2 linked regions of the Macaca fascicularis genome follow. The protein of the gene in region 2 interacts with the protein of the main gene of each other region in a biochemical or structural test. Links are inferred from orthologs where the notes say so. Each region holds a gene or a part of one and is shown on either strand. Other genes may lie near its edges.

The links. The genes of interacting proteins can lie anywhere in the genome.
Region 1: the proteins of DNM2 (region 2) and ITSN1 form a complex in vitro, tested with the Homo sapiens proteins (2 studies listed by BioGRID and IntAct, with this or other methods). The link is inferred for Macaca fascicularis from reciprocal best matches to the Homo sapiens genes DNM2 and ITSN1.

The regions. Positions count from the first base shown.
Region 1 is NC_088377.1:13,151,625-13,158,989, reverse strand, and holds part of ITSN1 (intersectin-1), read left to right. Parts: intron 1-1,753; coding exon 1,754-2,016; intron 2,017-3,880; coding exon 3,881-4,030; intron 4,031-4,121; coding exon 4,122-4,262; intron 4,263-7,365. UniProt on the Homo sapiens protein: Adapter protein that provides a link between the endocytic membrane traffic and the actin assembly machinery. Acts as a guanine nucleotide exchange factor (GEF) for CDC42, and thereby stimulates actin nucleation mediated by WASL and the ARP2/3 complex.
Region 2 is NC_088393.1:11,368,445-11,375,809, forward strand, and holds part of DNM2 (dynamin-2), read left to right. Parts: intron 1-2,612; coding exon 2,613-2,683; intron 2,684-4,279; coding exon 4,280-4,309; intron 4,310-6,579; coding exon 6,580-6,631; intron 6,632-7,365. UniProt on the Homo sapiens protein: Catalyzes the hydrolysis of GTP and utilizes this energy to mediate vesicle scission at plasma membrane during endocytosis and filament remodeling at many actin structures during organization of the actin cytoskeleton.

The sequences.
Region 1 (7,365 bases), on a different chromosome or scaffold from region 2:
GCCTCAGCCTCCCAAAGTGCTGGGATTACAGGCATGAGCCACCATGCCTGGCCAGCTAATCTAATCTTAACCTTCCAGAGGCTCCATCTCCAAATATCACATTAGGGTAATTAGGGCTTAAAAGTATGGATTTTGGTGAGGTGGCACAAACATTCAGTTCCTAACAGTGGCATTTAGTGCACTCACAGTGTCTTGCAGTCACAACCTCTCTCTTGTCCCAAGATACTTTCCTTACCCCAAAACAAAACTCCATATCCATCATTCCCTCCAGCCTGTGGCAACCACCAATCTGCTTTCTGTCTCTTGGGATTTACCTATTGTGGATATTTCATATAAATTGAATCATGTATGACTGTTTATAACTGACATCTTTCACTTGGCACAATATTCTTGAGATTCATCCACCTTGCAGATGTATCACCTTACATCATCCCTTTCTGTGGTAGGGGGACTTTGAAATTTTTTTTTTTTTTTTTTTAAGATGGAGTCTACTCTTGTCACCCAGGCTGGAGTGCAGTGGCACAATCTTGGCTCACTGTAACCTCTGCCTCCCAGCTTTAAGCGATTCTCCTGTCTCAGCCTCCCAAGTAGCTGGGATTATAGGTGCCTGCCACCATACCCGGCTAATTTTTTTGTATTTTTAGTAGAGACGGGGTTTCACCATGTTGGCCAGGCTGGTCCCAAACTCCTGACCTCAGGTGATCTGCCCACCTCAGCCTCCCAAAGTGCTGGGATTACAGGTGTGAGCCACTGCACCCAGCCAGGACTTTGAACTTTAAGTATCAGAATAGAGGACACCGTTTCCTCTGAAATTACCAAAGGTGAGCAAGGAAACCAATACATACTTGCCCTCTTTCATCTCTAATCGCTGACTACAGTATGTGAAGGAAGTCTATCTAAAGCAGTGAAGTCCAAACAGGAATGTGGGAAGAAGCCAAAGAAGGATGCTCACAGCTGCAGATCTCAAGGCAGAGTGAGAAGTGATGGTTCTTAGATGTGGACCAGGGACTGGCATGCTGCACAGGGTGGCAATGAACACTCCCCTGGCCGGGGTTGGTACCAAGGAGAATTGCGTGAGGCCGACACAGAAATGAAATAGACACTGCTGAGGATAGTAAGGGACGCGGATGATGGGATTGTAGAAAATGTAGAAATAAAATGGACATAAACAAAGTATTAGAGAAAAAATGATAGAACCGAGTAATCATTCTAAATTTATAATTGATGTATCAAAGAAGGAAACTGAATAATGGGTTAGAAAAAATTGTTGACCGACTGTGATCTCTGTAGGGATAAGGACACAGCTTGTTCTTCAGTGTGAAAAGCTCACCTTTAGCTCTGCTTTGAGAAGTCTTGTTAGAATACAGGACTCATCAGCACAGTTATAAGACAAGGGGAAGGAGGGAGAGAGGCAGAGACTCATGGTCCAGAAGAGAGGGGGTTAATTCCTAAGGCAAGCTCATGGGAAGAAGGGAAAGGATGGAGTAACAGGGAAGGAAAGGAGTCTGGGTAGTGATGTAGAACTGCTAGATAAGGGTCTTTTAGAAACAGTGTTTGGCATGGAGGAGAAGACACAAGCAGAGAGGTTAGGCAAAGGGGGTTTTTATTGTGCTCATTAACAAGGACACAGAAGCTTAGGGAGTTCTGAGTTTGGGTTTGTACTACAAGTTTCAAATACACTGGTGAGTTTTCCTTTGAAAAGAGTATGTTGAAAATCATGAGCTTTCATAGTTGCTGTGTTCCTTGTCTGAAGTAACGTTTGAAGATAAGAAGAGGGAGAACTTTGAACGTGGCAACCTGGAACTGGAGAAACGAAGGCAAGCTCTCCTGGAGCAGCAGCGCAAAGAGCAGGAGCGCCTGGCCCAGCTGGAGCGGGCAGAGCAGGAGAGGAAGGAGCGTGAGCGCCAGGAGCAAGAGCGCAAAAGACAACTGGAACTGGAGAAGCAACTGGAAAAGCAGCGGGAGCTAGAACGGCAGAGAGAGGAGGAAAGGAGGAAGGAAATTGAGAGGCGAGAGGTAAGCAGGCGAGAGTGGAGCCACCCCGAGTTAGTGTGCAATTACCCCCTTTCAGAATTATCCAAGTGATCTATTCATGCCATCTTTGTCTTTTTACAGTTCAGTAGTTTTAGTATATTCCCAAAGCTGTGCAGCCATCATCCCTAATTCCAGAACATTTTCATCACTCCAGCTCCTTACCCATTAAGCAGCTACTCCCCATTTCTTTCTCCCTCCAGCTCCTGTCTATCATTAATTTACTTTCTGTTTTTCTAGATTTACCTATTCAGGACATTTTTTATAAATGGAATCATCCATATATGGACTTTTGTTTCTGGCTTTCATTTAGCATGATGTTTTCAAGTTTTATCCACATTGTAAAATGAATCAGTCCTTTATTCCTGTTTATGGCTGAGTAATATTTTATTATATGGGTATACCATGTTTTTTAATTCATTCAGCAGTTGATGGTCATTGTGGCTGTTATAAACAATGCTGTTATGAACATTAATGTACAAGTTTTTGATGATACAATTTTGTAACAAACCACTGATACCAGTTACGTGTTTTTCCGAACTGTTTTCTCTGTATACACCTATATAAAAATATAAAGGTTTATATGGTGGAGAGTATAAGGGTTGTGCAATTTTTTAAAAAACCACTGTAATAGTGTCATACCAATTACATTGTTCTGCAACCTTCCTTTTGTTTGTTTGTTTGTTTGAGACAGAGTCTCACTCTGTCACTTCCAGGCTGGAGTGCAGTGGCGTGATCTCAGCTTACTGCAACCTCTGCCTCCTGGGTTCAAGCGATTCTCCTGCGTTCAAGCGATGCTCCTGCCTCAGCCTCCTGAGTAGCTGGGATCACAGGTGCCCACCACAACACCCAGCTAATATTTCATATTTTTGGTAGAGATTAGGTTTCACCATGTTGGTTAGGCTGATCTCGAACTCCTGACCTCAGGTGATCCGCCCGCCTCAGCCTCCCAAAGTGCTGGGATTACAGGCATGAGCCACTGCACCCGGCCTGTGCAACCTTCTTTTTAAACTCTTTTAAAAATATGTGTGGGACATCCTCCCTATATTCTATGGAAGTCTTCATAAATTTAGCACCATACCTGGAAAGGGACTAAGCCAATCTTGTCTCTCTTTCCAATTTTAGTACATTACTGCAGAAGCAACACATAATTCTCTCATGTTAATGGAATAATAAAAATGAGGAATTTTTCGATATAAAAAAATAGCCTGAGTGCCATGCCTCAAGCCTGTAATCCCAGCCCTTTGGGAGGCTGAGGAGGGATGATCACTTGAGGCCAGTAGTTGGAGGGCCACTGCATTCCAGCTGGGGTGACAGAGCAAGACCCTGTCTCAAAAAAAAGAAAGAAACGAAACTTATAGCCATAACTCCTTTTTTTTTGAGACAGAGTCTCACTCTGTCGCCCAGGCTGGAGTTAAATAATAATTTCTCTTTTGGTGGAGTAAAATCAACTTTTGTTTGTTTTTGTTCAGGGGTGTTTTAGTTTGATTTTACTACATAAAGAAATTTTCCTTCTTGGTGTGTCAGTAAGTAAGAAGGAGCACTTTTAGTTAGTACATCAAGCATTCTTGAAGGTATAAAGAATGGAATTCTAATGGGGAAATGATCCTGTCATCTTACATAAATATAATATTACATAAATATAATAGCCAGCTCTGTATATTCCCTTTATTCCCATAGAAGGAATACCGTATTTTTATAAGTTACTTTTTGTTTTGTAATGTGATTTCTTGTAATGTTTATTTTTTAATCCCTAAAAGGAAGGACTTACTAGATGTCACTTTTGTGAAGAGACATTGTGTAGTGTAAGAACTGAAAAATTAGTAATTTGTCTTTGTAAATGTCACAGGCTGCAAAACGGGAACTTGAAAGGCAACGACAACTTGAGTGGGAACGGAATCGAAGGCAAGAACTACTAAATCAAAGAAACAAAGAACAAGAGGACATAGTTGTACTGAAAGCAAAGAAAAAGACATTGGAATTTGAATTAGAAGCTCTAGTGAGTGAAGTTTGGTTATACTTTGGAAATATACTAAGATGGAACCATTAAAAACAGTAATAATTTTTAATTACTCTTTCATTTGTTCAAGAATGATAAAAAGCATCAACTAGAAGGGAAACTTCAAGATATCAGATGTCGATTGACCACCCAAAGGCAAGAAATTGAGAGCACAAACAAATCTAGAGAGTTGAGAATTGCCGAAATCACCCATCTACAGCAACAATTACAGGTGAGGAAATATGCCTCTTAAATGCTATTAAACTGGCATCCTTTTCTCTAATTCATTTCATTTACTTATTTATTCAGTAAACATTAAGCAACTATCTTGTATTAGGCACTGGGAAGCAAAAATGAAGTAGACAGGGTCCTTGTGTGAAAAGTAGCCTGTCAAGGAGACAGACTCAGCAGATGTTTATTGAGCACTGCTTTGGGCCAGATGCTTTTGCAGTTTCTGAGGCTACAGCAGGGACAGACACTCTGTCTTCTGGGAGCTTACCCTCTCTGTTTGCCGGAGGAACAGAGACTAACAAAATAAAGTGTGTACTGTATTAGAAGATGAAAAGTGCTAGGGAGAGTGAGTAGGGAAGGGAATAGAGAGTCCTAGGGATAAGAAAGGTTGTGATTTTAACTAAGGTAGCCAAGACAGGTCTTTCTGGATGGTGACATTTGAGCAGAGACTTGAAATTAATGATAGGCTAAGCCATGTGGGTATCTGGCAGAGCAAGATCTAGGCAGAGAAATAGCAGTGCCAAAGTCCTGAGGCCATGGCAGGACTCTTGAGATGCCAGTTACAGCAAGGAGACTACTGGTTAGAGCAGGTGGGAGCTGGATCACACAGAACCTGTAGTCCAACAGGACTTTGGCTTTACTGCGATAATTATAATAAATAAGTACACTTAAGTATTTTAGGGGGTCATATGAGAGCTATACGTATAGTAAATAGTTGGAGACGCACAGAGCACTATTAGTAGTTCTGTCTTCATTTTAAACCCTATCCAAAGTTGTTATGATATAACCTGGTTTGGTATCAAGTGTTGAACATCAAATTCATGTAAATGTTGCCTGCAGATGATCATATTTGTCTGTGACTCTTTTATGTCAGACTTTTTCTCAGCATGATGTTTTTGAGATATATCCATGTTATTGAGTGAATGACTCCTTTGTTTCTTTTCATCACAGAGTAGTGTTTCCTTATATGTTCATTCACCTATTGGTTGATATTCAGGTTCTTTCCAGTTTGGAACTTTTATGAATAAAACTGCAGTGAGCATTTATGTACAAGTCTTTATGCGGAAATGGTTTATTTCTCTTGGGTAAATTTTTAGGAACGGAACTACCATGTCATATAAGTATATATTTAACCCCATAAGAAACTGTCAGGCCGGGCACAGTGGCTCACACCTGTAAACCCAATACTTTGAGAGGGCAAGGTAGGAGGATTGCTTGAGCCCAGGAATTTGAGACCAGCCTGGGAAACATCTCTACATTAAAAAAATTTAAAAATTAGCTGGCATGGGGGCATTCACCTGTAGTACCTGCCTGAGGCAGGAGGACCACTTGAGCCCAAGAGATGGAGGATGCAGTGAGCTATGATTGAGCCACTGACAGCCTGGGCCACAGACTGAGACCCTGTTCCAAAAAATAAAAGAGAGAAGAGAAAGAAAAGCAAGAGAACTGTCAAACTGCACAGAGTTTGTACCATTTTACATTCTGATCATTTAATTTGTATTTCCCTGAAGGCTAATGATGTTGGGAATCATCTTACATGTTTATTGGCGAGTATCTTTTACTGTGTATCTTTGTTGAAGTGTCTGAACAAATCTTTTGCCCATTTTTTATTGGGCTGTTTGTCTTACTATTTATTTGTAAAAGTTCTTTTTATGTTCTTAACAAGTCATTTGTCAGATACATGTTTTGCAAATATTTTCTCACAATCTGGATTGGGTTTAATTTTTGTAGTGGTATTTTTTAAAGGGCAGAAGTTTTAAATTTTGATAAAGTTCAGTTTACCATTTTTTTTCTTTTGGTGTTCATGCTTTTTATGTTCTATCTAAGAAATCTTTGACTACCCCATGATTGCAGATATTTTATTTTCTTCTAGAAGTTTTTGGGGTTTAAAAAAATTAGTTTTAAGTTTTTATAAATTGCAAAAAAACTTTAAAATTTTAAGTTTCATAGTTGTATCTTATATGTTTAGGTCTATGAGCTATTTCAAGTTGATTTTTGCATATAGGGTAAAGGTTGAGGTTTTTTTTTTTTTTACATACTGATACACAGTTGTTATAACACGATTTATTAAAAACACTGTCTTTTCTCCCATTGAGTTACCTTGGTAGCTTGTTGAAAATCGGTTAAACATATTTGTAATGGTCTATTCTGGACTCTATTCTGTTCTTTAGATCTGTCTGTCCTTTACCAGTATCTCACTCTGTCGATACCTAATTTTTGAAGTCAGGTGATACGAATTCTCTGTTATTGTTCTTCTTTTTTCAGAATTGTTTTTGGTTATTCTAGGTCCTTAACATTTCCATGTACATTTTAGAATCAGCTTACCAGACATGCTTGGAATTTTGTTGGAATTCCATTGAATTTATAAGTCAATTTGGGAAGATTTGGCATCTTAGCAATAGTAAATCTATGGCATAAATCTCTGTTTAGGTTGTTATAAATTTCACTCAGCAATGTTTTGTAGTTTGCCGTGTCTAAGTCTTGTACATACTTTGTAAAGTTTATCCCTGAGTATTTTGTGGCTTTCGATGCTATCGTATATTGCATATTTTTATTTTAGTTTCCAGTTGTTTGGTGCCAGTATATGGAAATAGAACTTATTTTTGTATATTGACCTTATATCTATGATTGCTTAACTAACTTTCTTTGTGTGTCTTACTTTGTTGACCAGAACCTCCCATACTGTATTGGATAGAAGTGGGAAGAGCCTTGTTCCCTCTCGATGAAGGAAAGCTCTCTCACCATTGAGTATAGTGTTAACCAGGGTTCTTGTAAATGCCTTTTATCAGGTTGATGGACTTCCCTTTTTGCTGAGGGTTTTTATGATGAATGGGTGTTGAATTAGATCATATGTTTTTTCCCGCATCTATTGAGATAAGTATTATGTTTTTTCTTTCTTATTTTGTTAATATGATGAAATACATGGATTGCCATTTGAATGTTAAATCAGCCTTCCGTTCTTGGGATAAACCACTTTTGATCATGGTATATTACCCTTTATTAAAATATTTCACTACATTCCTTTTCTCGTTTTTTTTTTTTTTTTTTGAGGATCTTTTTAAGTCTATTGAATTCAATTCAACAGAGATAATTGGTTTTTAGTT
Region 2 (7,365 bases):
CAAGTAGCCAGGACTACAGGCCTATGCCACTACACCCACCTAATTTTTGTATTTTTAGTAGAGACAGATTTTCACCATGTTGGCCAGGCTGGTCTTGAACTCCTGACCTCAGGCAATCTGCCCGCCTCAGCCTCCCAAAGTGCTGGGATTATAGGCATGAGCTACCACACCCAGCCTGCTTTTTCTGTTTCAGCATTTAACACTTTCTTGCAAAGGCTTGCAAGCACACACCCAAAGTCTCTGCCCCCCCTTGCAGCTGAGACTGTCACCCACTAAGCACTGGGCCATCCTTACACTCTTCTGCAGCCTCAGCTTCCCAAGTAGCTGGGATTACAGGAGTGAGCCATCACGCTTGGATAATTTTTGTATTTTTAGTAGAGATGGGATTTTGCCATGTTGGCCAGGCTGGTCTTGAACTCCCGACCTCAAGTGATCCGCCTGCCTCAGCCCCCCAAAGTGCTAGGATGACAGGTGTGAGCCGCCGCTTCCGGATCTGTTTTGAGTCACTTTCTGTCAGTTGTCCTCTGTGTTCTTTTTACAACTGTTTGTTGAAACCAGAGCTTAATTAAGCCCTTGCTTGTTATGTCACCATGTTTAAAATGGTCCTTCTCCGCTTGCCGTTGATGGGGATGAAATCGGCTCATTCGTCCTGCAAAGAGGCGCCCAGTTTTGATTTGGCCAATTGCTCCCTCAGGGCACCGGTGCGCCTATGCCTCAGAGCTGCTGTAGCTTGGAAATTGTACCAAAAGTCTGGAAGAGTCTGATTCTTTTTGTTGTTACTATTAGTGAGAATGCTGCTGGCCCTTCCACAGCCCCTGGTGCTCACCTGCCATGCTCCCGGGCCGGATCTGAGAGCGCTGGGTTGAGGGGACTCAGGCCTTATTAAACCAGCCACGCTTGCTCCCACAGACGGAGCACCCTGGCATTTTCCAGCGGGCCGACAAGTCCGGGTGCCTTGCCCTACTTTATTTTCGGAAACTTGAAGGTGCAGTGAGGGGAAGTGACTGGCCCAGGGCCAGGGGAGTCCAGTGAGGAGCATCCGAGCCCCTCCTCCCCAGCAGCCTGGCCTGTTGTGAATGGGAGCCAAGCCAGTGAGCTGCCTGGATCCATGGTTCCCATAGACCAACTTCATCCTGGGCAAAGGACAAGAAACATGAGGGAGGGAGAGTTTCAGCAAGTGCTGTGGACTCGCAAGCCCTGCTCTTTACCTGAGACTTTACCTTTCTAGCTTAAGTATGTGTGTGTGTGCATGTGTGCACACACGTGTGTGTTTTATTTTAGTGTTCATAGTTGGCCAAATTAGCTTCGCAGTTTTAATGCAGCACTTTGAACACGCCAGGCGCTAAAGACTTTACAGGGCGGGCACGGTGACTCACGCCTGTAATCCTAGCACTTTGGGAGGCCAAGGTGGGCGGATTGCCTGAGCTCAGGAGTTCGAGACCAACCTGGGCAACATGGTGAAAACCCGTCTCTACTAAAATACAAAAAATTAGCCGGGTGGTGTGGTGTGTGCCTGTAGTCCCAGCTACTCGGGAGGCTGAGGCAGGAGAATTGCTTGAACCCAGGAGGCGGAGGTTGCAGTGAGCCGAGATTGCACCATTGCACTCCAGCCTGGGTGACACAACAAGACTCTGTCCCCGAAAAAGAAAAAGAGATTTTATAAGGCAGTGGCTTGCAATGGCTCACTCTTGTAATCCCAGCACTTTGGGAGGCCGAGGCAGGAGGATCACTTGAGCCTAGGAGTTCAGGACCAGTCTGGGCAACATAGTCAGACCCTGCCTCTACAAAAAAAAAAAAAAGGAAAATCAGCCAGGTGTGGTGGCACATGCCTGCGGCCCCAGCATCTTGGGAGGCTGAGGCAGGGGTGTTGCTTCAGCCCAGGCGTTTGAGGCTATGATTGTTCTACTGCACTCCAGCCTGGGAGACACAGTAAGTTCTTTTCTCAAAAAAAAAAAAAAAAAAAAAAAAACCAGGCGCAGTGGCTCACGCTTGTAATCCCAGCACTTTGAGAGGCCAAGGCGGGCAGATCATGAGGTCAGGAGTTCGAGACCAGCCTGGCCAAGTCAATGAAACCCTGTCTCTACCAATAATGCAACAATTAGCTGGGCATGATGGTAGGCGCCTGTAATCCCAGTCACTTGGGAGGCTGAGGCAGGAGAATCGCTTGAACCCAGGAGGCGGAGGTTACAGTGAGCCCAGATCATGCCACTGCACTCCAGCTTAGGCGACAGAGTGAGTCTCGAAGAAAAAAAAAAAAAAAAAGACTGCACATTATTAAACCCTTGGCAGTTGGGCCTCCTGTCACCCTATTCCACAGGTCAGTAACGTGAGGCCCAGGGTCACATGGCCAGTTAGTGGCTCAATCAGAACTCCAGACCTTGGGGACAGTGGCCCTGCCTGTGACTGGCCCATCGGGCTGCCTGGCTGTGCTCTGTTGTCCAGGCTTTCTTGCCTGTGAGGGTGTGGGGAGTGCGACACCAGCCCCCTGTTCTGTCTGGGAAGCCTCCTAGTTCGCACGCCTTCTCTGCTGGCAAGACCAGGAAATGCTCCTGTCACCACCCCCGCTTACCAGGCTTGGCCCTGTACTCACAGTGACCCCCACTTTCCCCCAGATTCTTCTGCTGATCGACATTGAACAGTCCTACATCAACACGAACCACGAGGACTTCATCGGGTTTGCCAAGTAGGTACTTTTGGAGACAGTGGCTGGTCGGGCGGCACCAGTCCTTACTCTTAGATCCAAGGAGGTGATCGAGTTGGGATTCTCTGAGAGGGTGGGGGTCACACAGTCTCTATCGGGGGTCCTGGGGTGAAGGCAGAGCCACCTGAGAATATCTGGACACTCTCCTGGGCTGATAGTGGTCCACTGTCCCAAACCAACGCGCCTTCTGTGGGGCATCCCTGTGGTTAGTTTCGGGAGAGGGCAGTGCTATGGTCAGACCGGCAGGGAGAGGGCGAAGCCAGCCAGCTGCTGCACCCCCTCTCCCACAGGACTTGTCAGAGCCTTTAGCGACCAGTGGGCAGCTTTTCGCAGACTCTGCCCCTTCATGGACAGCATCTCGTGGGCTCAGGGCTCCAGAAGCTGCTCTTTGGGAACTGCTGCCTGGGGTCTCCCTCGCTTCAAGGCGTACACTGTAGATTTAAACCAGAACTTTCCATGGCACCTAGATGAGGGCCCAGATCGGGGAGCTCTGATTTCAGCAGGATGTCGCTATCAGTGCTAGTGGTCTCAGGCATCACCCGCCGATTCCTTCAGTCCCTCGGCGCGCCTGGGCCTCACTCAGATGGTTGGGGAGGCTCACGCAGGCCTTCCTGCCTGAGGCGGGCTGGATGGTGCCGCTGGTATGCCCTCTCGTGAGGCCCTGTGACAGAGCAGTGGGCAAACCCACACCCAGCTCCCCACCCTCAGAGGAAGGCCCCATGCAGGGAACCAACAGGGACACAGGCCGTTACAGCGTAGTGTGCTGGGTGGGGCCGTGCGGGGCCTGTCGAGGTCCAGAGGGCGGCTGTTGGGCCTTGCCTTGACGGGCCAGGCAGGCTTCCTAGGGGAGGGCCTCTAGAGCCAAATCTCAGGCTATGTGGTTACCGGATAGAACGTTTATTGGTGCACCTGACAAAGCTGATTGAGGACCTGTTCTGTGCTGGGCACCAGGTAGGTGGGGAGAAAGGAGGAAGGCAAAGAAAGGAATGAGGGCGGCCGGGCGCGGTGGCTCAAGCCTGTAATCCCAGCACTTTGGGAGGCCGAGACGGGCGGATCACGAGGTCAGGAGATCGAGACCATCCTGGCTAACACGGTGAAACCCCGTCTCTACTAAAAAAATACAAAAAACTAGCCGGGCGCAGTGGCGGGCGCCTGTAGTCCCAGGTACTCGGGAGGCTGAGGCAGGAGAATGGCGTGAACCCGGGAGGCGGAGCTTGCAGTGAGCTGAGATCCGGCCACTGCACTCCAGCCTGGGTGGCAGAGCGAGACTCCGTCTCAAAAAAAAAAAAAAAAAGAAAGGAATGAGGGCCTCATCAGAACCCCTCCTAGAGATGAGCTGAGGGCCCTGACTGGGCCTCCCCTGCCTGTGGGAGGCAGCCCCCCGCCCTGCGCTCCCGGCTGACAGGTGTGTATGGGCTCACAGCGCTGGTCCCCATCTTTGGTTTGCTGCTGTTTTCCTCACCTTGATGTCTCTGCTTCTCGCACTTCATCCACAGTTCCTTCTCACAATCTCTCCTGTTTTTCCTTTGACCACTCCACTCTTTCCTCTGGATTCCTGGGCCTTCCCACTTACCCCAGCTGTTACTATACTGAGCAGCTGGTGACCTGGTGGGTATTGCCTGCTGTGTGCCTTTGCCCTGGTGTGTGAACGGGTACGCCCTGGCCGGGTGGCCCCAGCCCTGGGTGGGACGTCCCCGGGGCCCGCTGAAGAGCTATGGGGTGCTGAAGAGCCAGGGCCACCGTTGGGCCTCCGGGCCAGGACCTTGACCGCACCAGCTGTAGCCCCTGCTGTTTCAGAGCCTGCAGGCTGGGGAGGTGGAGTCTCTAAGCAAAGTGTCACAAGGACGATGAGAGCAGGAAGAGAGGGTAGGGGATAGGCTGTGGGAAAGGGGAGCCAGGGATGTGGCCTGGAGAGATCTTCCTGAAGAAGTCAGGTGATGCAGGGGGCACACCAGAGAATTGAACCTAGGGAAGGACGGCTACAAGACCAGGCAGGTGGAGATAAGAGAGCCAGAGGCCAGGCCCTGTTATCAGGAGGGCCCTGCAGGTCCAGGGGAGGATTCTGGATTTTCCCCCAAGACACCAGGATGCTTCCGATTAGGTCCAGGCTCAGGAGAGGGGCCACCTTGTGGGCTGCTATTTGAGGGAGCCCTGGCAAGGGTGGGAGCCAGGAGGCCCTTAGGAAAAGCACCTCTGGGGCATCACTTGTCACCCAGCCATCACTGTGAAGGTTGGCTCAGCTCAGTGCCACCTCCTTCAGATGCTGCTGATCAAAATCCTTCTTGTGCTTAGATGTTCTGGACTTCCCATTACCCTCCAAATAAAATATTATAAACAGGGCCCAGGCCTGGTGCAGTGGCTCATGCCTGTAATCCCAGCACTTTGCAGGAGGCCAAGGTGAGTGGATCGCTGGAGCCCAGGAGTTTGAGACCAGCCTGGGCAACATGGTGAAACCCTGTCTCTATAAAAAAATACAAAAATTAACTGGGCGTGATGGTGGTGCGTAATCTCAGCTACTCAGGAGGTTGAAGTGGGAGAATGACCTGAGCCTGGGAAGTCAAGGTAGTGAGTCATGATCACACCAGGGCTCTCCAGCCTGGGTGACAGAGTGAGACTCTGTCTCAAAAATAAATAATAAACAGCCCAGATGAGCAGCCCTATAATAAACTTATTGAATGTTGGGGATAACATTGGATAAAATTCTGCCTTTGTTCTTAGTTTTCCAGTTCTTAGTTTTCCAGCCTTTTCTGATCTAGAAACAGAAGCCTACTTTCTCCCTTATCCTACAGCCAACTTGCACTCTAAAACAAAACCCCCAAGGTAGTCAGGAAAGGAAAGTGACCAAGCTGATTTGCTTCTCCATATTGTTCTGAAAGTTTCAGCCAAAGCAATAAGAAAAGAAAAGAAAATGTGATGGATAAGTAACAGGAGATGTACGTTGTTTGCAAGTGATCATATGATTGTCAGAGTAGAAAATATACTGGAACCGTAAGGTGGTGGAGTAGGTGTCCACATATAAAATATAGTGGGTTTTGTCTATGTTGGCATGAACTAGCCAGGAAGGAGGATGGATAAAGAAGAAAAGAGATCTGGGATTGTGGCTGCATAGGAACCTTATAGAAACACACCCTGTAGACCTTGGATGTCCTCTAAATTTGGGTCAGGAGTCGTGCAAGATACGTGCCGTTTCATGGCCAGCAGCTGTCCCACACTCTGATGTCGAGGACTGGATGGCTCTGTGGTTAGAGCCACTTACAGGCTGGTGTTGGGATCAAATCATGAGAAGAGTAGGAAGAAGGGCCGGGCGCAGTGGCTCATGCCAGTAATCCCAGCACTTTGGGAGGTGGAGCCAGGTGGATCCCTTGAGTCTAGGAATTTAAGACCAGCCTGGGCAACATAGCGAAATCTCATCTCTATAAAAAATCAAAAATTAGCTGAGCCTGGTGGTGTGCACCTTTGGTTCCAGCTACCCGGGAGACTGAGGCAGGGGAGTTACATGAGCCCGGGAGGTCAAGGCTGCAGTGAGCTGTGATTGCGCCACCGCAGTCATCTTAGGCAACACCTTCTCACAATTCCTCTTAGAAACTCCGGGATCCTAGTGACATCTGGAAGTAACCAACACTTTAGTAAGTCGGCTGAGCTGAGGGCCTAAGAAGCCTCAATCGAACCAGATACATTTTCTTGTTCCGTGTGCCCAGGCCGTTGCCCTTGTGCAGCTCCTTGTGTGCAGGGGGCTTCTCTCTGCCTCTGCCTCTGCCTCTGCCTCTGCCTCTGCCTGCTCACTTGGTCCCCAGGGAGAGAATGGCCACATGCGCCTCTTGCCCTTCTTCCCCCTCAGCATCCTGTCCACATGAACCCTGTCTGTTCTTTGATTTCAGTGCCCAGCAGAGGAGCACGCAGCTGAACAAGAAGAGAGCCATCCCCAATCAGGTAGCACACCCCTCTGCAGCCTGCCACTCTACCCTGGGGGGTGGGAGGACACTAAATGACAGCCCAGCCCCAGGGATGGAGCTCGGCCTGTGGAAAGCGCCCCCACAGCCTCAGTACCAGGCCATCTGCTCTCTCGGCCTCTGGAGGCCACTTAGGAATAGACACTTCTGGGAGATGGTCTAAGAGCCGATACTCTGGCAGGGCCTAGTGGGCACATTTTACCCACCCAAAAGACCGTATGTGCTATCCAAGGCCAGGGTTAGAACTTGACTCTTGGCTGGGCATGGTAGTTCACGCCTGTAATGCCAGCATGTTGGGAGGCTGAGGTGGGAGGATCACTTGAGGCTAGGAGTTTGAGACCAGCCTGGGCAACACAGAAAGACCCTGTCTCTACAAATCATATTTAAAAATGAGCTGGTTGTGGTGGCTCATGCCTATCACCCCAGCTACTTAGGAGGCCAAGGCAGGAGGATCACTTGAGCCCAGCAGTTCATGACCATCCAGGGCAATACAATGCAACCTCGTCTTAAAAATTAATAATAGGCCGGGCACAATGGCTCACACCTGTAATTCCAGCACTTTAGGAGGCCGAGGCGGGTGGATTGCCTGAGCTCAGGAGTTTGAGACCAGCCTGGCTAACATGGCAAAACCCCATCTCTACTAAAAATACAAAAATTAGCTGGGAGTGGTGGTGGGCGCCTGTAGTCGCAGCTACTCGGGAGGATGAGGCAGGA